Linked DNA regions of Cricetulus griseus. The protein of the gene in region 2 purifies or fractionates together with the protein of the main gene of each other region. This does not show direct contact. Links are inferred from orthologs where the notes say so. Each region holds a gene or a part of one and is shown on either strand. Other genes may lie near its edges. The genes, in order: Sec16a, Aurkb and Ppp6c.

What was found.
Region 1: the proteins of Aurkb (region 2) and Sec16a purify together in Homo sapiens (affinity purification with mass spectrometry; 3 studies listed by BioGRID and IntAct, with this or other methods). This does not show direct contact. The link is inferred for Cricetulus griseus from reciprocal best matches to the Homo sapiens genes AURKB and SEC16A.
Region 3: the proteins of Aurkb (region 2) and Ppp6c purify together in Homo sapiens (affinity purification with mass spectrometry, with the first as the bait; 3 studies listed by BioGRID). This does not show direct contact. The link is inferred for Cricetulus griseus from reciprocal best matches to the Homo sapiens genes AURKB and PPP6C.

The regions. Positions count from the first base shown.
Region 1 is NC_048599.1:137,818,385-137,824,452, forward strand, and holds part of Sec16a (protein transport protein Sec16A), read right to left. Parts: intron 5,874-6,068; coding exon 5,776-5,873; intron 4,118-5,775; coding exon 3,994-4,117; intron 3,446-3,993; coding exon 3,247-3,445; intron 3,105-3,246; coding exon 2,930-3,104; intron 2,394-2,929; coding exon 2,251-2,393; intron 1,729-2,250; coding exon 1,667-1,728; intron 1,558-1,666; coding exon 1,419-1,557; intron 1,050-1,418; coding exon 804-1,049; intron 1-803. UniProt on the Homo sapiens protein: Acts as a molecular scaffold that plays a key role in the organization of the endoplasmic reticulum exit sites (ERES), also known as transitional endoplasmic reticulum (tER).
Region 2 is NC_048600.1:82,919,560-82,925,727, reverse strand, and holds the start of Aurkb (aurora kinase B), read right to left. Parts: upstream 3,544-6,168; 5' UTR 3,231-3,543; coding exon 3,183-3,230; intron 2,444-3,182; exon of another isoform or gene 2,166-2,443; intron 1,593-2,165; coding exon 1,490-1,592; intron 1,383-1,489; coding exon 1,331-1,382; intron 1,180-1,330; coding exon 988-1,179; intron 826-987; coding exon of another isoform or gene 792-825; coding exon 653-791; coding exon of another isoform or gene 640-652; intron 570-639; coding exon 421-569; intron 1-420. UniProt on the Homo sapiens protein: Serine/threonine-protein kinase component of the chromosomal passenger complex (CPC), a complex that acts as a key regulator of mitosis.
Region 3 is NC_048599.1:150,485,219-150,491,386, forward strand, and holds the start of Ppp6c (serine/threonine-protein phosphatase 6 catalytic subunit), read right to left. Parts: upstream 3,613-6,168; 5' UTR 3,494-3,612; coding exon 3,419-3,493; intron 1-3,418.

The DNA.
Region 1 (6,068 bases), on a different chromosome or scaffold from region 2:
AGTCAGGTGTGGTGGCACACACTTGAAATCAAGAACTTCGGGGATATGATGATGCTTTGGGCCACAAACTTTCTAAGGTGGAGTCTATTTGAAAGTGTATGCTTATCACGCCCATGATTCGGTTCAATTCTTAGATCCACACCAGACTAAAAACATGAACTTCCTAAGTTGATCATAATGTGAAGGACAGAGAACTAGACCTATTAGATAGACGTGCTTGACACAGAGAACTCTATGAGCCACTATGAAGTGCCTCCCATGCTCAGCACATCCTCTGACCCAATGTGCACACTTTTAGCACTCTTTTTGTTGTTGTTTTTCAAGACAGGGTTTCTCCATGTGTAGCCCTGGCTGTCCTGAAACTTGCTCTGTAGACCAGGCTGCCCTTGAACTCATAGATTCTCCCCACCTCTGCCTCCCAAGTGCTGGGATTAAAGGCGTGTGACACCACTGCCCAGCTACTTTCAACACTCTTGTGCACACTGTCAGCCTGAGTTATATAAAACCTGAATTAACAAAAATACACAGGATTGGCCTGAAACTTCAGTCTTTAAGAAGACTTCATCCCAGGACTCTGCACACAGATGAGCACACATCCTCTCTAAATGACTGTAAACTGAACTGGCCAGATTTCCACATGGGCCCTTCTCAGAGAAAACACTACTAATACCTTCAGAGATATCAGGCAAAGGGCCAGATATCATCCCTAAACAGCACTTGCTGCAGTTGCCTCCTAGAGGAGGTTGGTCTTTTCCCTGGGCCAACAGACAGACACTAGAAGAAACATCTGCAGGGCTGCCTACCTTCTTCCGGCCATATAGTAAGAGCTCACGGAACCGCTCAATCTCCTTCTCCAGCACGCTGGTGGTTGCCGTCTGACTGTCTGTGAGAAATGAGAGCTGGGCCTCCCCTGACTCCTCCTCTTCCACTTGTTCCACGGCTTCATTAGTAAAATCTATCAAGTTTGCTTCATTGGGTGACTTCCCAGGAAGCCACACAGTTCTGTGGTCTCGTAACAAAAGCTCTGCAATGTCTGTTCCCACCACGGTCTACAGGGTCAGATGGGAAGCAGCGTAAGATTTTATTAGAAACAGGGTTTCTAGCCAGATGACAAATTCCCATGCTGTCAGAACCTGGCCAGGTCTGCATAGGTAGCACATGTTAGACCTCAGGAAAGAAGCCTGACTTTTCATGTGGGCAGGGAAGGCCTGAGGTGTCAGCTCATGACAAATCTTACACCTCCCTTTCTTCCTACTTTCCCAGGTTGTGGCCATGATGCTCTTCCCAAGGAAGCATGGCATGACTGGAAGCATTGTACAGAAGGCTTGACACTGCCCACAGCTTAGGACAGGAATAGGAAACAGATTCTGAGACTAAAGGCAAACAGAGAGAACATTAAAAAGTAAAAGAGAACATACCCCATTTTGTCTGCATAACAGAATGATGAAATTCCAAAGAAGACTTGCAGACTCTTTGTCAATTAAACTCTCATTCTGTAAACATTTTGTCGCTTTGTTCTGTGCGAAGTTAATAACATCTACTTTGTGGGTATCATCTCTGGGGAAAGAATGAACACTCAGTGAATGGTGGTACCAAAACTGTGAGCCAAACTTAGCAGCTGCCATTATGCCATTTTGTCAAAAGACATCGCAACAAGGAGCCTTACTTTCCAAGAGGTCCTGGGAAGGAGCGCATCTCTTCCTGCTCGGGTGTATGCTGCAGCAAGGTCTGCAATGAGAGGGGAAAAGCAGTTCACATGTACGACCTCCAGCAGACTGAGTTACAAAGCCAATTCTGGGACCACGCTCATCCCTCCATCCAGAGGGTGAAGGTGCTTGGTACAATTATATGAGCATGCATGAACTACAATGGAGGTTTTCAAATTTTAAACAGAAAAACTTATTTGGGTCTTGACAGATATGACAAGAGAGGCTTCTGAGGCTACAGAGAAAGTGTGCCCCCAATCTCATTCCATTAGTTAAAATACACACACACACACACACACACACACACACACACACACACACACACAAAAAAAAAAAAAAAAAACACTGTCAAAACATGAAAGGAAGCAGAAGAGCACATACAATCAACCCATATCTAACAACCACAGCACCTGCTTAAAGTGCTGAGTTCTAGAAGAGTCAGCCTCTAAATAGAACAAAAGCCCTAGAGGCCTAAGCTTCTCAGGAAGGCACACTTCCCAAGGATTTCCAAGGGGTGCAGAGAGAGCCACGGGTCCATGCTTACCTCCAAGCTGTGGATCTCCACCAGGGCAGGCTGTCCCTCTGAAGGCAGGTTGGGAATCACTTTAAGGAGCTGACCACCAGGACCAAACCTGGCATAGACATGAGGCACCGTAAATTTCTCAGGAGAGGTCGGTCTTGATGGAACTGAAGTTAAATAAACAGGAAGAAAAACAATAAGCTAGCTCGCCATGTCTAACAGCTTCTGCACCAGATTCCCAGCTCAGGCTCCCTGCCCAGCTCAGCTTCAGGCTAACTGTCACAGAGCATCCAAGAGCAAAAGAGCTGAGCAACTCATACACAAAAACCGTTTCTCATTGACTGGTGCTTTAGTCAGGAGAGTTCTCAGCTATACCTTTTTAAAGCTACACCTTTCAGGAGGTGGGATACTGGCACAAATCAGAACAAGAGTCTCTCAAGGGGAACTTGGAGTTCCAAGACTGCTTATCCACTTGCCAGTGTGGGAACATAGAGAAGAGCGACCCAAGGCTTGAGTGGACTCAAAGTTACACATTAACAATGCACATGTGGTCAAGCAGACAGGTCTCAGACCAAGGGCCAGCACTGGCCTGTACCAACAAGCCATGACATTCGGGACAGTGGGTACAGCGTGCAGAGGAGCTGATTGGACTCCCTTGTTTTAACCCAACCTGGTGGCTTCAATTTGAACTGCTGAGACGCACCTTGCTCCACAGCAGGCCAGGAGGTGTCTGCAGGGTAGCCGTACTCTGGAAAACCATGGGCACCGCTGAAATTGCTGGCATACGTGCCATAGGCATAATCACCATGAAATGAGCCTGGGGCATGAGGGGCTTCAAAGGAACCACCAGTCACATTGTGGCTTCTGTAAATCTGACTCTTGGGAGAGAAATCAAGCAGAGAAAATGAGTTCCCATGAACACCAGAAAGACTGTGGGTACACCGTTAGAACTAGGCAAAGACAAAGTTGTGGCCAAGACTTAACACCTGCTCTTCCCCCTGCCAAGCCTGCCCAGCACACCTGATGTGAGTGGGAGCTGAGGCTGCTCCGGCGGCTAGGCAAGCTGTGAGTGCTGTGCAGGCTCCGAGCCGAGTGCTCACTGTGGATGCTGCGCCTGTCTGCTTCTTCTCCATAGGGGTCCCTGTGGAGCTCAGTGTCATCATCGAAGCTCCCCGTGAAACGAGGGTCATATCTCCAGTGATCATCACATTTCTCAGGCCTAGAGGAAACAGGGGACTGAGGCAGGGGATTGGAAGGGCAACTCCCTGGGACACCACATAACTACCCAGGAACTTCCCAAGGCTGCAGTTAGCCCTCACTGCTCATTGCCCTCCCTTTGTCCCTCTACCCTGAGGCTATCTTCATCCTTAAGAATGTTAGTTATAGCTAACCCTGCAGGCCCGGCACAAGAAACCAAATCCTAGGTTCAGATGCAGGTTATCTCAGAGAACACAGTACAGGTGCAACTTGAGGGTGGTTCCTTCCCTGGGTTATGGGCAGGATGGAGAAAAGACACCGAAGAAAGGAGGCAGATTTAAAGTCCTCCCAGAGCCACTGGGAAGGAGCACATTTGAGCCAGTTCTTCTTCCATAGGCCAGAAGGGGGGGGTATAGGGAGAGATGGCCAATACTTCCTCTTTCAGACACTAAGAGATCACTTCCCAGAAGCCCAGAACTATCGTTGATTACTTCCAAAGATAGGAGGAAGGCAAGCAAGAGCACACCTCAGCTCCCTCCCACTTCCTTCAGACGTGTACATTTCACTAACCTGTCACTGTAAGCATAGTTTTCCTTCCTGTATGGGTCATGCTCGGAGTCATACCAGTATCTCCGGTCCCAGGTGCGAGGATCCCTGAAGCGAGGCCCATAGTAACGATCCCAGCGGCCTGGGTCTGTAAGTGAGGAATGAAGAGAGAGTGCAGCAGTGACACACAGAAGACCCACCCAGCTGCCCTGGAGCAGGCAGACAGCTTAGGAGGAAAGGACAGGCATGGCCTAGAGAGCGAGCCCCAATCCGGAAGAACCAGCTGCCTCCTGCTCATGATGTGGCAGTCACTGTTCTCTCAATATACATATTTGGATGAAAAAAAGAAAAGCTACTACAAGAGTTCTATATTAAGTTCTTTTTCACTTTTTTTGGTTTGTTTTGAGATGTGAGGGATCAAACTTAAGGCTTTAAGAACAGTCGGGTGTGTAGCTAGGTACCACAGTTACAGCCCCAGCCTTGATAATACTTTTTAATAGTTATCTCAACTATAAATTATATTAATTATACTCCTAACATGATTCAGGATATATTTTAAGATATATTATTTCTATGCGTATTGGTGTTTTGCCTGCATGTTTGTCTGTGTGAGAGTGCCAGATCCCCTAGAACTAGAGTTACAGATGTTGTGAGCTGCCATGTGGGTGCTGGGAGTTGAACCCAGGTCCTCTGGAAGAGCAGCAAGTCAGCACTCTAACAGCTGAGCCACCTCTCCAGCTTGTGTTTCAGGATTTTGTTTGTTTATTTTTTGTTTTTGTTTTTTTGAGACAGGGTTTTTCTGTGGCATTGGAGGCTGTCCTGGAACTAGCTCTTGTAGACCAGGCTGGTCTCGAACTCACAGAGATTAGCCTGCCTCTGCCTCCCCAGGGCTCAGATTAAAGGCATGCGTCACCAAGCCCGGCTTTGTTTCAGGATATTTTAAGAAATAATTTCATTAAAAGCTAACTCTCTTTTTAAATATTAACATTATGAACAAACATTTTAGGAGAGTGTGTACAATACTCCTGCTTAAAAGTAATGCAAATCGGCCGGGTGTTGGTGGCGCACGCCTTTAATCCCAGCACTTGGGAGGCAGAGGCAGGTGGATCTCTGTGAGTTCGAGGCCAGACTGGTCTCCAGAGCAAGTGCCAGAATAGGCTCCAAAGCTACACAGAGAAACCCTGTCTCGAAAAACCAAAAAAAAAAAAAAAAAAAAAAAAAAAAAAAAAAAAAGCAATGCAAATGTTTAAGGGGCAAAGAGCTCCTGGGAAACACCACGTGAACATGTCAAGGGACTGCAGGTTTGTGGTACAGCAGCATATAGCAGGGTTGCTAAGGGAACTCATAGCTTTTCCCAGGACATGTTTTGTGGAAGGCAAGTATGGAGGCTTGTGAAGTAACTGGAACTGCCACAATTGACATGCTACATCCATCACCAAGGAGCAAGCATCAATATCATATGGCTTTTGAGCATTCAAGTGTGACAGAGTGACTGGGGAGCCGGTCTTATATGCCACCGCAGCCTCATTAGTTCATACTTGAGTAGTTACAAGTGGACCAGAAAGTCTCAGAACTAGTCACTATCCTTCATGACAATACAACAGACACCATGCTGTGGGTACAATGTGACTTTTCAATGTAATTGCCAAAATGATCATTCTCAGATGCTAAGAATTCTCAATTACTTTGGCCAATGAAAGGAAAAGTGATCTTGATTCACCTGCCAGACCATGACTCATACATGGTGTATGATCACAGGTAGTGGCTAGACAGTTCCCTGCTAATGGCTACAGTTTCTAAACATACCTCCATAATCATACTGGCTGGAGTAATAATTTGCATAGTAATCACTCTGACTGCTCCATCCACTCTTAGAATTATAGTATCCTTCAGGATACCCTTGCCTGGGGAAAAAAAAAAAAAAAAAAAAGAACTGTTAAACACAGTATCTATTTCTTAAAGTGTAATGAGAAATTAGCCAACCCAAAGCACATTCAGACATTCATAAAAGCTCCTCAACCATGGAAAACTCACAGATCAAAAGCAAAAACAAAGATGAGCTATGGAATTCCCCATTACGTAGCTACCTGAAACTGAGC
Region 2 (6,168 bases):
TGAGGCCGTATCTCCTTAGAATGAACAGGGTCGGCAGGGGTAAACTTGACATGGTGATGCTTGCCTGTAACTCAGCTATGTTTGGAGGGTGATCAGAAATTTAAGGTTATCTTTGGCTATATAGTGAGTTTGAAGTCATTCTGTGCTACATAGGACCCTGTTTCAATCAATCAATCAATCAATCAATCAATCAATCAATCAATCATGTGGGAGTTTCCACAATGATATGGTAAGAGAGGGCCCACTATATTTCATAGAAAGAGTAGAAAATTTAGAGCATGAATTATTGTGTTACCTATTTTTGTAAAGACTTTGCTACATCTATATTGCATGGAGACAAACCCCATCTCAAGGAACAACTTGCAGAAGAGCTGTATATCACAGCCTCACACGAGGGACAGCCCCCGAGCCCCACCATACCTCAGGGAGGGAGCATGCACAGACCAGCCAAAGTCCGCAATCTTCAGTTCGCCCTGGAGACCTAACAGCAGGTTCTCAGGTTTTATGTCCCTGTGAATCACCTTCTTCTTGTGGCAGTACATCAGTGCATCCGACAGCTCCTCCATGATCTACGAGAGTTCATAGCAGAAGGTCAAACAGGCCTCCACTTCCAGCAATAGCCACAGCCTCATGCCCCACACCGGATCCTGACCGTGGCTGTCCGCTGCTCATCGAAAGTTCTGTTCTTCTGTAGTTCCTTGTAGAGTTCCCCCCTCGGGGCATATTCCAGTATCAAGTAGATCCTACGCCGGTCATAGAAGTAGTTGTAGAGCCGAAGAATGTTGGGATGTCTGGGGCAAAGAGAAAGGAAGCTTCGGCTTGCATCTAGGAGACAGGACAGATGGCAAAGACCTAGATCAGGGTGGAAGTATAAGGAAGAGCTGGGTAGGTGGTCCAGATGGTGTAAGACAGGGCTGGGGATGCAGAAATAGGAATGTGGGGTGATGAGGTTGGCAGAGGGGCCAGGGCCAGGGGTGAGTAGCATACTGCAGGTGTGCCTGGATTTCGATCTCTCGGCGCAGCTGGTGCTCCACTCCCTCCTTCTCAATCTGAGACTTGAAGAGGATCTTGAGTGCCACGATGAAATGACTTTTTTTCTCCCGAGCCAAGTACACATTTCCAAATTTGCCTTTGCCCAGAGGACGCCCAATCTCAAAGTCGTCAATAGTGAGGGACCGCCTGATTAATAAAGTGGGGGGAAGGCAGCTAGCTCAGGGCTGGCTGGCTCAGATTCTAAGGTGTTTGATTTCTCTCTATCTGTGTTCCCTTTAATTTCCCCATTTCAGCCTCACCACAGTTTAAGTTCCCCGACTTACTCTGGGGTACTTACAAGGCATTGGAGCCCCGACTGACATTTTCAGCCAACTTCTGGCCAGGGGCAGCTAAGGAGAGAGCAGGCATGTTGAGTTCCTCTTTGACATTCTCGCCTTATACCCTCTCTTGGATTCTGGTCCCCTTGGGCCAGTCCTCTCCCCATTGTCCCAGGTACCTGTGGACTGGCCATTGGACCGGTTCATGAGGGCAAGTGCAGATGTCACAGCAGACTCCTTCTGCAGGACTCTCTGGGGCAGGGTGTTCAGGCCTGAATGAGACTGAGGAAAAAAGGGAAGCTCTGAGTGTGTTCTTGTCCCTGTGGTCTAGCTGGAATGTGCTATAAGCACCGTTTCAGCTACTTGTTAAAGAGTCCATCCATCCACTCACAGTTCAAACAATAGTGATACACCATGGTTTGACTACCTAGCCCCAGAGGTCTGCTCATTGCTCCAGAAGAAATGGGTTATTAAGAAACAACCTGAGGCTGGGCGTTGGTGGCGCATGCCTTTAATCCCAGCACTCAGGAGGCAGAGGCAGGCGGATCGCTGTGAGTTCAAGGCCAGCCTGAACTCCAGAGCGAGTGCCAGGATAGGCTCCAAAGCTACACAGAGAAACCCTGTCTCCTGGCACACATCAGTAACCCCAGCACTTAGGAGGTGGAGGCCCTTGATCAGGAGTTCAAGACAATCCTCAACAGTCAGTTCAAGGCCAGTGTGAGCTAAATAAGGCCTTGTTTTAACATCACCCTCATCCTCCCCACAAAACATCAACAAACAAACAAAGTAAAGGAATGAATGAAGAAAGCAATCGAAGACAAGGGAGAAGATGCCCTCTGACACCTAACAATTCACCTGGCCCTGGCCCACACCACCTGCTCAAGCACAGCACCGTCCAATCTGGATAGCTCTACACCACATTCATCCAGGCTCACATAAGAGCTCGAGCTCATGAAGTTGCCACACCAGAGGGATGCTGAGGGATATTCAAGGCCTCAAGCCACTTCTTCACTTTCAGACTTCGCTGAGTAATAGATCATTCCATTTGATAGTGACCACGGTGAGTGTAACAGTGGTGTCACACTCAGACTCCACTCTTCTCGGTTTTACTCGGTGCTTCATGCGGGAAGAATCTGGGACAAGGAAGCAGATGGGCTGTCCAGGATGCCCAGGTCCCACCAACGGGGACAGACTGAAGAGCTCTTCATTTTGGTGTAGGGCTCAGGGTCCCATTAGCTTGCCAAGCTCATTACAGATGTGCTGTATTACAGGTTTCTCATTTCTTCAGCCAAGAGAAGGCCCCAGGGTGCCTACAAACCTCCCCCAGTGATATCAGTATAGATTGGCCCATGCGTTCACACACACACACACACACACACACACACAATTTCAAATCTATTTGGATCCTTAGCTACAACCACTCATTAATATAAATTCTGGGGCTGAAGCGTAGCTCAATGGTACATCAAAACTGGAGGTCCTGGGTTTGCTATCCAGCCTCACAAATAAAATTTAGACCTTCCTGGACCTGTTAAACAGTAACTTTGTATTCTACAGTCTAATTTCTGTGTAGTTCATTTTCTCAGACTAAAGGGTGGGATTCACCGCCCGAAAGCACAATACTGCTGCTTGCTCAGTCCCAGTTATTATTTGCATGTGACAAGCAGACTCAGCTCTGCAGAAGCCCTCAGATTCAGGTTGACAACATCTGGATAGGATACGGCTGCAAGTGATCAGACTGGGCTCTGCATGCAAACTCTTGGGGAACACGTCGGAAGCGCTTAGAGGACAGCCATCGGCAGGGTGCTCCATCTGCCTCCGAGGACTTGCCTTCCGAGGGAGGTGGGGCGAGGAATGTGGCCGGGACCTTACCTTCTGCGAGCCGTAGGGCCACGGGTAGGTGTTCTCCTTCTGGGCCATCTCAAGGAAAAGCCGGAGGAGAGCTGGGCAGAGAGGGAAGCAGCGGTGAGAGGGAGAAGATGCAGAGATCTGCGGGGAGCGCAAGCGGGGGCGGGCGGAAGGAAACCAGCGCGCAGGCCGAGGTCGGGGCGCACCTGTGCGCCCCTCTCCGCACCCCTCCCTCTAGGCGGCCGGGCTGGCACGTGGCCCGCCCAACGGAGCCGGACGCCGTGGACCACCCGCGCCCTCCGGAGCCCACGGCGCAGCGGCTCTCCTCTCAGCTCGGCGCCCGCACGTTGGAGAAGCCGCCTGCCCTGCGGCTCCGCGACTCCGACACTTTCAAATCTCCCGCTCTGAGCCCATTGGCTGAGCCGCCACCCAAGCCCGCTTTCATTGGCTACGTTTCTTGTGACGTAACTGGTTGAGACGCAAAACAAGAAGCGGATTGAGATGCTCCTTTCTCTAGGCTGAGGCTGCTTTCCCAAGATATCACACTTTTGTATAATAATAATATTAATAATAATAATAATAATAATAATAATAATAATAATAATAATAAATAATATAAACAATAACAAAAATTTAAACTGGGCAGTGGTGGCGCACACCTTTAATCCCAGCACTCAGGAGGCAGAGGCAGGTGGATCCCTGAGTGCGGCGAGGCCAGCCTGGTCTACACAGCGAGTTCTTGAACCATCAGGGCTACACAGACAAAAACCCTGTCATGGGGAGGGAGCGGAGTAGAGGAGGATTTAGACAGGGCGTAGAACCCTGTCTCAAAAACAACACACTAAGATTAATTGTTACCTATCTCTTCTCCCCTCTCTCCCTCTCCCTCTCTGTGTATGGGCGTGTGTAAAACTTTTTTTCTGCCAGATGGAGAGACAATTATGCCCACGCCTTTGGTTAAACTGTTTTACCTGGAGAGGCAGAGACTCGTAGATGTCTGTGAGTTCGAGGCCAGCCTGGTTTCAGGACAGCCAGGACTATTACAGAGAAAGCCTGTCTCGGAAAAAAATGAACAAACAGCAAAAACTATCTATTTCGCAGGAGAATTTAAATGCTGCCCTTAATGATTGTACAATCCTCTTTAAGTATCCTTGGGGTATCATCTTTAGAACGCCCTACGTTACCTAATCCAGAGTGCTCAGGTTCCTTATATAAACAGGCATACTATTGTATAGGACATAGATTTGCATTGAGTTTGTAACTCTCTCAGGCTCTTTGGCTAATCTCTAGATCACCTAGCTACCTAATATTATGGAAATACTGTGAAACAGTAGTAAAGCTCTCTGTGAGGGAGTATGATGCAGGGAGGAAAAGTCAATACAGATGTAATCCATTAGATGAGACAGATGGATTTGAAGGTTTGACAGACAGACAGACAAGCAATTTGCTGAATCCATGGTTGTAGAATATGTATCTGTGTTTCTGGATTCCCTATTCTCCTTGTCTGATTAGTATTTGGATTTTATTTGAGACAGGTCTCTCTGTTAAGCTCAGGTTGGCCTCCAATTCACTATATAGCCCAGGCTTGCCTTGAAATTCTGATCCTCTCATCACAGCTCCCAAAGTACTTGGATTACAAGCACACAGTATCAGGCCCAGCTTGCTTATCCCTTTTCTATTTCTTCTTAAATGTCCTTTGAGTTCCTAGAAAGAGGTTTCCAGTGGTGGAACTTTCTGTGCTGGGTCCCTGATAGCTGTGGGATTTGAACACAGTTCAAATCAAAATCCACTCTTCTGTAAATGCTTTGTTCTTAAAAATCCTTTAATGTTTCTTATTCTAACATTAGGCTTGTAATTCTACCACTCTGGGGCCTGAGGCAGGAGGATTGCTAGGAGTTTTCAAATTCTATAAATTACCAATTCCCACTGAGTTAACATTTTTTTTTTCTTGAGACAGGGCCTCTCTGTATTGCTTTGGAGGTTGTCCTGGAACTCCATCTGTAGACTAGTCTGGCCTCAAACTCACAGAGATCTGCCTACATCTGCCTCCTGAGTGCTGGGATTAAAAGCATGAGCCACCAATGCCCAGGCTGAGTTAACTCTTGAGTTTCATTCCATCTCTTGAGTAATTATAAGTGTGCACTCTTCTGGTGGCCATAAGGGAGCATTTTCCTGCCAAGGGAAGGACCAGAACTATTTTGGGGGTTCCAAAGCTTGGGCATGTACAACTTCTGCAATAAAGACTAGTCTGCTGTGTGCCGTGGTGTTGGTTCATGTGACAAAGTGTCCTGGCACAAGACAGGACAAGGCCCAGGAGGGAGTGAGGTGAAGGAGGCAAGATTCTGCTTGGCATGGCATCTGTTGTGTGGATAATACTCTGTGTCCCAAATTCCTCACCAGGAACCCTGCCACACTGACAAAGGGTTGGTGGAACAAAGAAACATCAGGATGTGAAGCTGTGTCTTTCTGGGGAGAAGAAAAGGCTCGTGTGTATGTGTGTGTGTTTGCTTATGTATGTGTGTGTGTATATGTGTGCATGTGTGTGTGTGTGTGTGTGTGTGTGGTGTGGTGTGGGGGAAAGTTGAGTTGGGCAAGGAGAGTTTTCTAGCCTGGGTTTCTCTTTCTTTCTTTTGTTCTGCTTTTTTTCCCGAGACAGGGTTTCTCTGTGGCTTTAGAGCCTGACCTGGAACTAGCTCTGTAGACCAGGCTGGTCTGGAACTCACAGATAACCACCTGCCTCTGCCTCCCGAAGGCTGGTATTAAAGGCATGCGCCACCACCACCCCGCTGTTCTGCTTTTTTTTTTTTTTTTTTTTTTTAAGCAAACTGAAGGAAGCAAAAATATCTGATTCCAGGCCCCTAGTGAGAAGTATAGAGAGAAGTATCTTTTATATGTAATACTCTGTGTTCTATCCAAAGTTCATCAGAGATGACAAAAAGGGGCAGAGAGGTAGGAGGATCTCTGTAAGTACAAGGCCAATTTGGTTTACACAGTAAGTTCCAAGCCAGGA
Region 3 (6,168 bases), on a different chromosome or scaffold from region 2:
TCAGTCCCTAGAAAGCCTCTTATGCTCTGCATGCATGTGGTACACAGACATACATACAAGTAAAATGTCCACATACACAAAATATAAATAAAAATCACACAAAAAAGTTTTTAAGACTCATGGCTGGAGAGCACTTGTTGGTCTTGCAGAGGACCTAAGCTCAATTCTCAGCAGCCACATGGTGGCTTGTAACCACCCAGAAACTCTAATTTCAGGAGATCTGAAGACCTTCTGACTCCCTCAGATACCAGGCATGCACATGATACAGACACATACATTCAGACAAAACATTCATACACATAAAAAAAAGTCTCTTAGAATATTTCCTTGGCTTACCTGTTTTTAGTCTGTACTTTATGCCAGGGAACACAAATAAAATTGAGTTTCTTTCCTTTCTGCTTTCCTTCCTTCCTTTCTTATTTATTTTATATTTGAGATAGAATTTCACCATGCAGCTCAGATTGGGCTGGAACTCACTATGTAAACCAGGCTGACCTCAAACTCACAGAGATCCACTTGCCTCTTGCTTTCAGTGCTGGGATTAAACACATTTTCCATCAAGAGTAACTAAAACTGAATTTCATAAACACTAGTCAAGAATGTTGGCACACCTTTGTAATTCTAATACTCAGGAGACTGAGGCAGGAAGATTGCAATTGTAGCTAGCTCAAAGTTAGGATGGGCTACATAGTTGAGTTCCAGTCAAGAACTGGACTGCAGGGTAAAAACTTAATAAATAAGCAATCAAGCAAACAGAAAATATACCAGAGACTGACAGCACATGCAAATCAATCTGGTAAAACTGTTTCTAGGATAGGGGAAAAAAATTCTACCCAATAGTTACCCAAAAACTTTGGTGGGGGGGGTGGGGAGGAGTGGGGGGCCGTATGGAAGTCTATAAGAGACATGTACATGTGGGGCTGAAGAAGCGACAAAGTGGTTAACTACTTTTGTAGAAGACCTGTGTTCTATTCCCAGCACCCACGTCAGGCTGCTTACCACTACCTGTAACTGCAGCTCCAGAGAGATCTAATGCCTCTGGCCTCTGAGGGTGTCTGCACTCAGGTGCACATACCCTGACAGAGACATACATGGTAGATCTCTGAATTCAAGGCCAGCTTGGTCTATAGGGAGTTCCAGGACAGTCAGGGCTACACAGAGAAACCCTGTCTTGATAAACAAAATAAATAAATAAAATTAAAAAGCATACAACAGGAGAAATGGTTCAGCTGTTAAAAGTTTACTTTTCTCCAGATGTTGGTGGTGTATGCCTTTAATCCCAGCACTCGGGAGGCAGAGGCAGGCAGATCTCTGGGAGTTCTAGCTAACCTGGTCTAAAGAGCGAGTGCCAGGACAGGCTGCAAAGCCACAGAGAAACCCTGTCTGGAAAAACAAAACAAAAGGTTTACTTTTCTTGTAGAAGACTCAGATTTGACCCCCAGCATCTACATCAGTTAGCTCATGCCACCTATAAATCCAATTCCAGGGTTAGGATGCTCTCTGCTTCTGCCAGCACCGGTACACATAAATTCACACAGGCATACATACAAAAACATAAATAAAAATAACAAAACTTTTCAAAATTAATTTCAATCCTCATACCACAATAAAATAGAATAAACCACTATTAAAGTAGAAGCAGACCCAGGGGTTCTAGGCAAGCTTGGGCTACATAATCCTGTGTGTGCGTGTGAACTGGAGAGATGGCTCAGCACTTAGACTGTATAAGGGACCTGAGTTCAGTTTTATTCACCTACATCTGGTGGCTCACAAACTGCCTGTAACTCCAGCTCCAGGATGACCTCCAAAGGCACCATGTGCCCATACTCTTCCTCCCTCCACAAACACTAATTAAAACTAAATCTTATTTATTTATAAAAAAAGAAAGAATAAGCACAGAGCAGCCAGGCATGGTAGTTTAAGTTGCAGCTTTTGATAAGTGGGAGCAAAAGGATCAGAATTCAAGGTCATCCTCAGGTATTTAGTGGGTTGGAGGCCACGATGAACTTTTTTTTTTTTTTTTAAGATTTACTTTTATTTTGTGTATGACTTTTTGCCTGCATGTATGTCTGTGAAACAGGTATGTGCCTTGATGCCTGCAAAGGCCAGAAGAGGGCATCACATCACTTGAACAGGAGTTAACCGCCATGTCCTTGCTGGGAATAGAATTTTCAGGTCCTCTGGAAGACCAACCAGTGCTTTGAACCGCGGAGACATCTCTCCAGCCCCAGCAAGACCTATCTTAAGATGCTATCTCAGACAGAAAACAAAACTAAAAAAATTACCAAGCAGAAAGAAGAGCCAAATGACTGAAAGATGCAGGTGGCTGAACATGTGAATACCAACCACGTAACACATACAATCAATATTTAAGTACAAGTTAGGTACTTTCACACAAACAGCACACGTGATCTTAAACATTTTGCATATTGTTTGATCAACTTCATGTATCAAATGAGACAGGAAAACGCACACAGAGCAACATCTTGCCTAGGAGAAATATAATTCATCAGCAAGATTTTTTTCTTGAAAAAAGTTTTAAGCCCATGACTTAAAATGATTACAAAAACAGCCTAAAAGAATTCAAGTGATCGAGAGCGTTTATGTATTTACCACACAGTAAATCAAAGGTAATGGAATAAAACTAGCAACCATCGTATAAACACCAATGGAGACCTAAGCACTAGCTTTAGCAGAAGCAAAATACGTTTGAAAACAGTGGTTTACCAACGGCTTGCTTCCTTTACATTCATTCTTTCAACACTCTTAACTTGAGCTGGGTGAGACCTTGAGAAACGAAGAAAACGACACTTTGGGTTATGGGGGAACAGCTCAGAGGTCATAAAAGCATTTGCACTCTTGATAAGCGACCGCTTGTTCACTTAAATAGCTCAGCACCGTGCTGAGAAATGGGATCCCCATCCGAATTATCAGAAGAAAACTAGCACTGCTAATTAGGGAGCAATTTGGGGGAGTGGTGAAGCTCAGGCGACTGACAATGTCCTACTACTGTCAACCGATCCCGCCCACCGGCTTCCTAAACACACTGCGGACACCCGCGTCCTGGGGCCGTCAGCAGCTCCTGTCCCCTCTGCCGGGAGGACCCCATCGCGAGAGCCCTGCCCGCTGGCAGACCGAGCGTGTCAGAGCCCAAGAGGCTGAGCCAGGGGGGGCCGGGGGACCGCACATGCCCGGGACCCCCTCAGGGAGCCGCGCCAGCATTCGGGGAACTCGGGCTCCGCTGGTTCTCCGCGTTTCGCCGCGTCGGGCCCGGTGGCCTCGCACCGCGCAGCGCCCTCCGCCGCGCCAGGGCCGGGTGCCCGGTCGGGGTCCGGCCGGGGGAGAAGGGCGGCCGGCGGACGCCCCACGGCCGGAAGGGGCTTGCCTCGCCAGCAGGACGGGCTCCGGCCCGGCTCACCTTCAGGTCGTTCTCGGGAAGGTACTTGCACTGCCGCGCGATCTCCACATACTTGTCCAGATCGAGCGGCGCCATCTTAGGCAGAACAAGCCGCGGTGGCGGCGGGGCGGCGGCGGCGGCAGCGGCGGCGGCGGCGGCAGCGGTAGTACTGGAGGCAGCGGCGGAGGCCGAAGCCGGAACTCTCCTTACGTCACGTCCGACCCGTGAGTGGCGTCTGCGCAGCGACGTCAAAACCTGAGTTGCTTCTCTTCCGCGCCTCGACACGCCCTGCGCCCTCTCAGGCCGAACTCCGGGGGTCCTGCTGACAAAGCCTGTTGGGACCCGTAGCTGTCTGCCGCGGAGGATGCTGGGATTTGTAGTTTTCGTGAATCCGAATGCTCTTCCTTTCCTACCCTTCATGTCAGGGAAATCAGATGAGGCTTTTCTGCGGGAAGACTACCAAGTGAATAAGTAGGTTTTCCCTAGCACTCAGCATTTTCAGTTAAAGTTAGGGTAACTTGCCGACTTTCCAGGGCTAGTGAAGACCCCGGCCTAGATGTGTAGAACAGATTTAACACACCCAATTCTCTGGCTTGGAAGAAAACAAACAAATATTAAAGCATTTCTTAGGCTAAATTCTGTACAAATACTGGCGCGCTGTTTTTCCTTTTCTTGTAAGACCGAAGGGCGTGCAAAATTTGCACGTGTTACTTCCCCCAAATATCAAAGGAAACAAAAAAGGTGGAGCCTAGACTAAAAAAACAGACTACTGACTTGATTAAATGTGTGAGTCCCAGGGGGCGGCAAGAAGGGTTTAGTTTTTGTTGCTTTTACTTTGTTTGATTTTTGTCGTATCCTCGTGTTAAGAACAGTTCTTGACATCTAATATAGCTTTAACATTGGTTCATTTGACGACTGTATATTGAGCAGTAATTAAGTACAGATAGCTTGTAGGAGCTTAGTGACCACAGTAGACGAAAATCTCTATCCTTGAGGCTGGAAAGATTGCTCAGTGACTAAGAGCACTAGCTGCTCTTCCGGACCAGGATCCAAGTTTTATTACCAGCACCCACAAGGCTGCTCACAAATCCTGTAAGCCCAGTTCCAGGGGATCAGACACCCTCTTCTGGTCTCTGGGGCACTGTATGGATGTAATTCACAAACCCACTTGAAGACAAAAATAAATAAAATAATAAAAATTTAAGAATATATATTCTGTTTCCAACCTGTAATTTTCTACCAATCAGGGGCTGGAGAGATAGCTCAGAGGTTAGGAGCACTGGAGGTCCTGAGTTCAATTCCCAGCAACCACATGATGGCTCACAAACATCTATAATGAGATCTGGTGCCCTCTTCTGGCCTGCAGGCAAACATGCAGACAGAACACTGTATACATAATAAATAAATCTTTAAAAAAAAAATTAGAAAAAGAATTAACCAATCAGCCATCGATAGTGGAGCACACATTTGACCCCAGCCCTGGAGAGGCAAATGGATAACTGTGAGCTCTAGGATAGCTCGGTCTAAGTTAGCAAGTTGTCAACCAGGAGACCCTGTTCAAAACAAAACAAAACAAAACAAAACAAAATAAAAAACCCACAAAACCCACCAAGGTGGTAGTCTCCGGAAGATCGCTGATGAAGCATTCCTAAGCATATCACGAGCCTTTGGGGAGAGACCCTACCATGTGGAGATCAGAGGAAAAAAGGAAACACCCATTTATTTTTCATTTGATGCAATGGGCAACTATTGTAGGATTTTAAGTAGAGATGCAAAATGGTCAAACTTACTTGGATTTTCTTTTGTTTTGGTTGGTTGGTTTTGTTTGAGCCATCTCTTTAGCCCCTTGACTCCCATTTTAAAAACAGAACTCAAACATTCCTAGAATTCAGGAATGTGATTTCTATTCTAAAGGATTAGTTCCTACAGTGTAAACTATCTGATATTCCAGTTTTTCTTGTTAATATACCCCTTTAGCATGGCATCTTGAGGTAATCCTAGTCAAAAGACACATGCCCCATCAAAGCATTCTGGAGCTCTGACAGTAATTCTGTCTAAATATATGTTGGGCACATGACCAGAGCCAACCTGGCCTTGGTCCTCTTCCCAGAAGGAAAGCAGAGTGAGTGTATACCTCTAAACTCTTCTTCGGCAGTCTCTGGGAAACTTTCTACTAACTACAGGAAGTTATGAAGAGTTCAGGTGTTAAAAACACATGGCAAGGAAGTGAAGACAGCTGAAGCCCCCAAATTCTATTTTGTCCATGAATTTTGGTTAGATTTCAAGTAGCTAAACGAGTGATTGATTAGGTTAGTTTGGAGACCTGGGAGGCACAGAGCAGTTGGTCTGGACGGCTTCCATGGCCTGAGGAAGGGGGCGGGCTCCTAAGCTCCACCTATGGGTGGAGCCACATCCTGGACAAGCCAGGGCTGCAGCCAGTAATTGGTGCTGGGCTGGAGGTCTCTGGGCGGGTCACCTTGCCTAAGTGTGCCTTAGCTGGGTGGAAGGGACAGTGTCCCTGTTCTCCGGCCGGCCACATTAGCGGAAAGCAGGCAGCCATTTCTCCCTGACCCTGACTTCTTTCACTCGGAGATGTGGCCGGAGAGAGGATTTAAAGGGAGTGGCTAGGAAAGTCCCCGCTCATGCGAAGCCCCCCCGCCATACATGTATTGCTTGGGTATAGGTGTGAGGCTCCCACAGTAGATAAACCATGAGTGCTAGGTTAGTGGTGTAAATACATGCACGAAGAGTGCTGAGATACAGGACTGAGC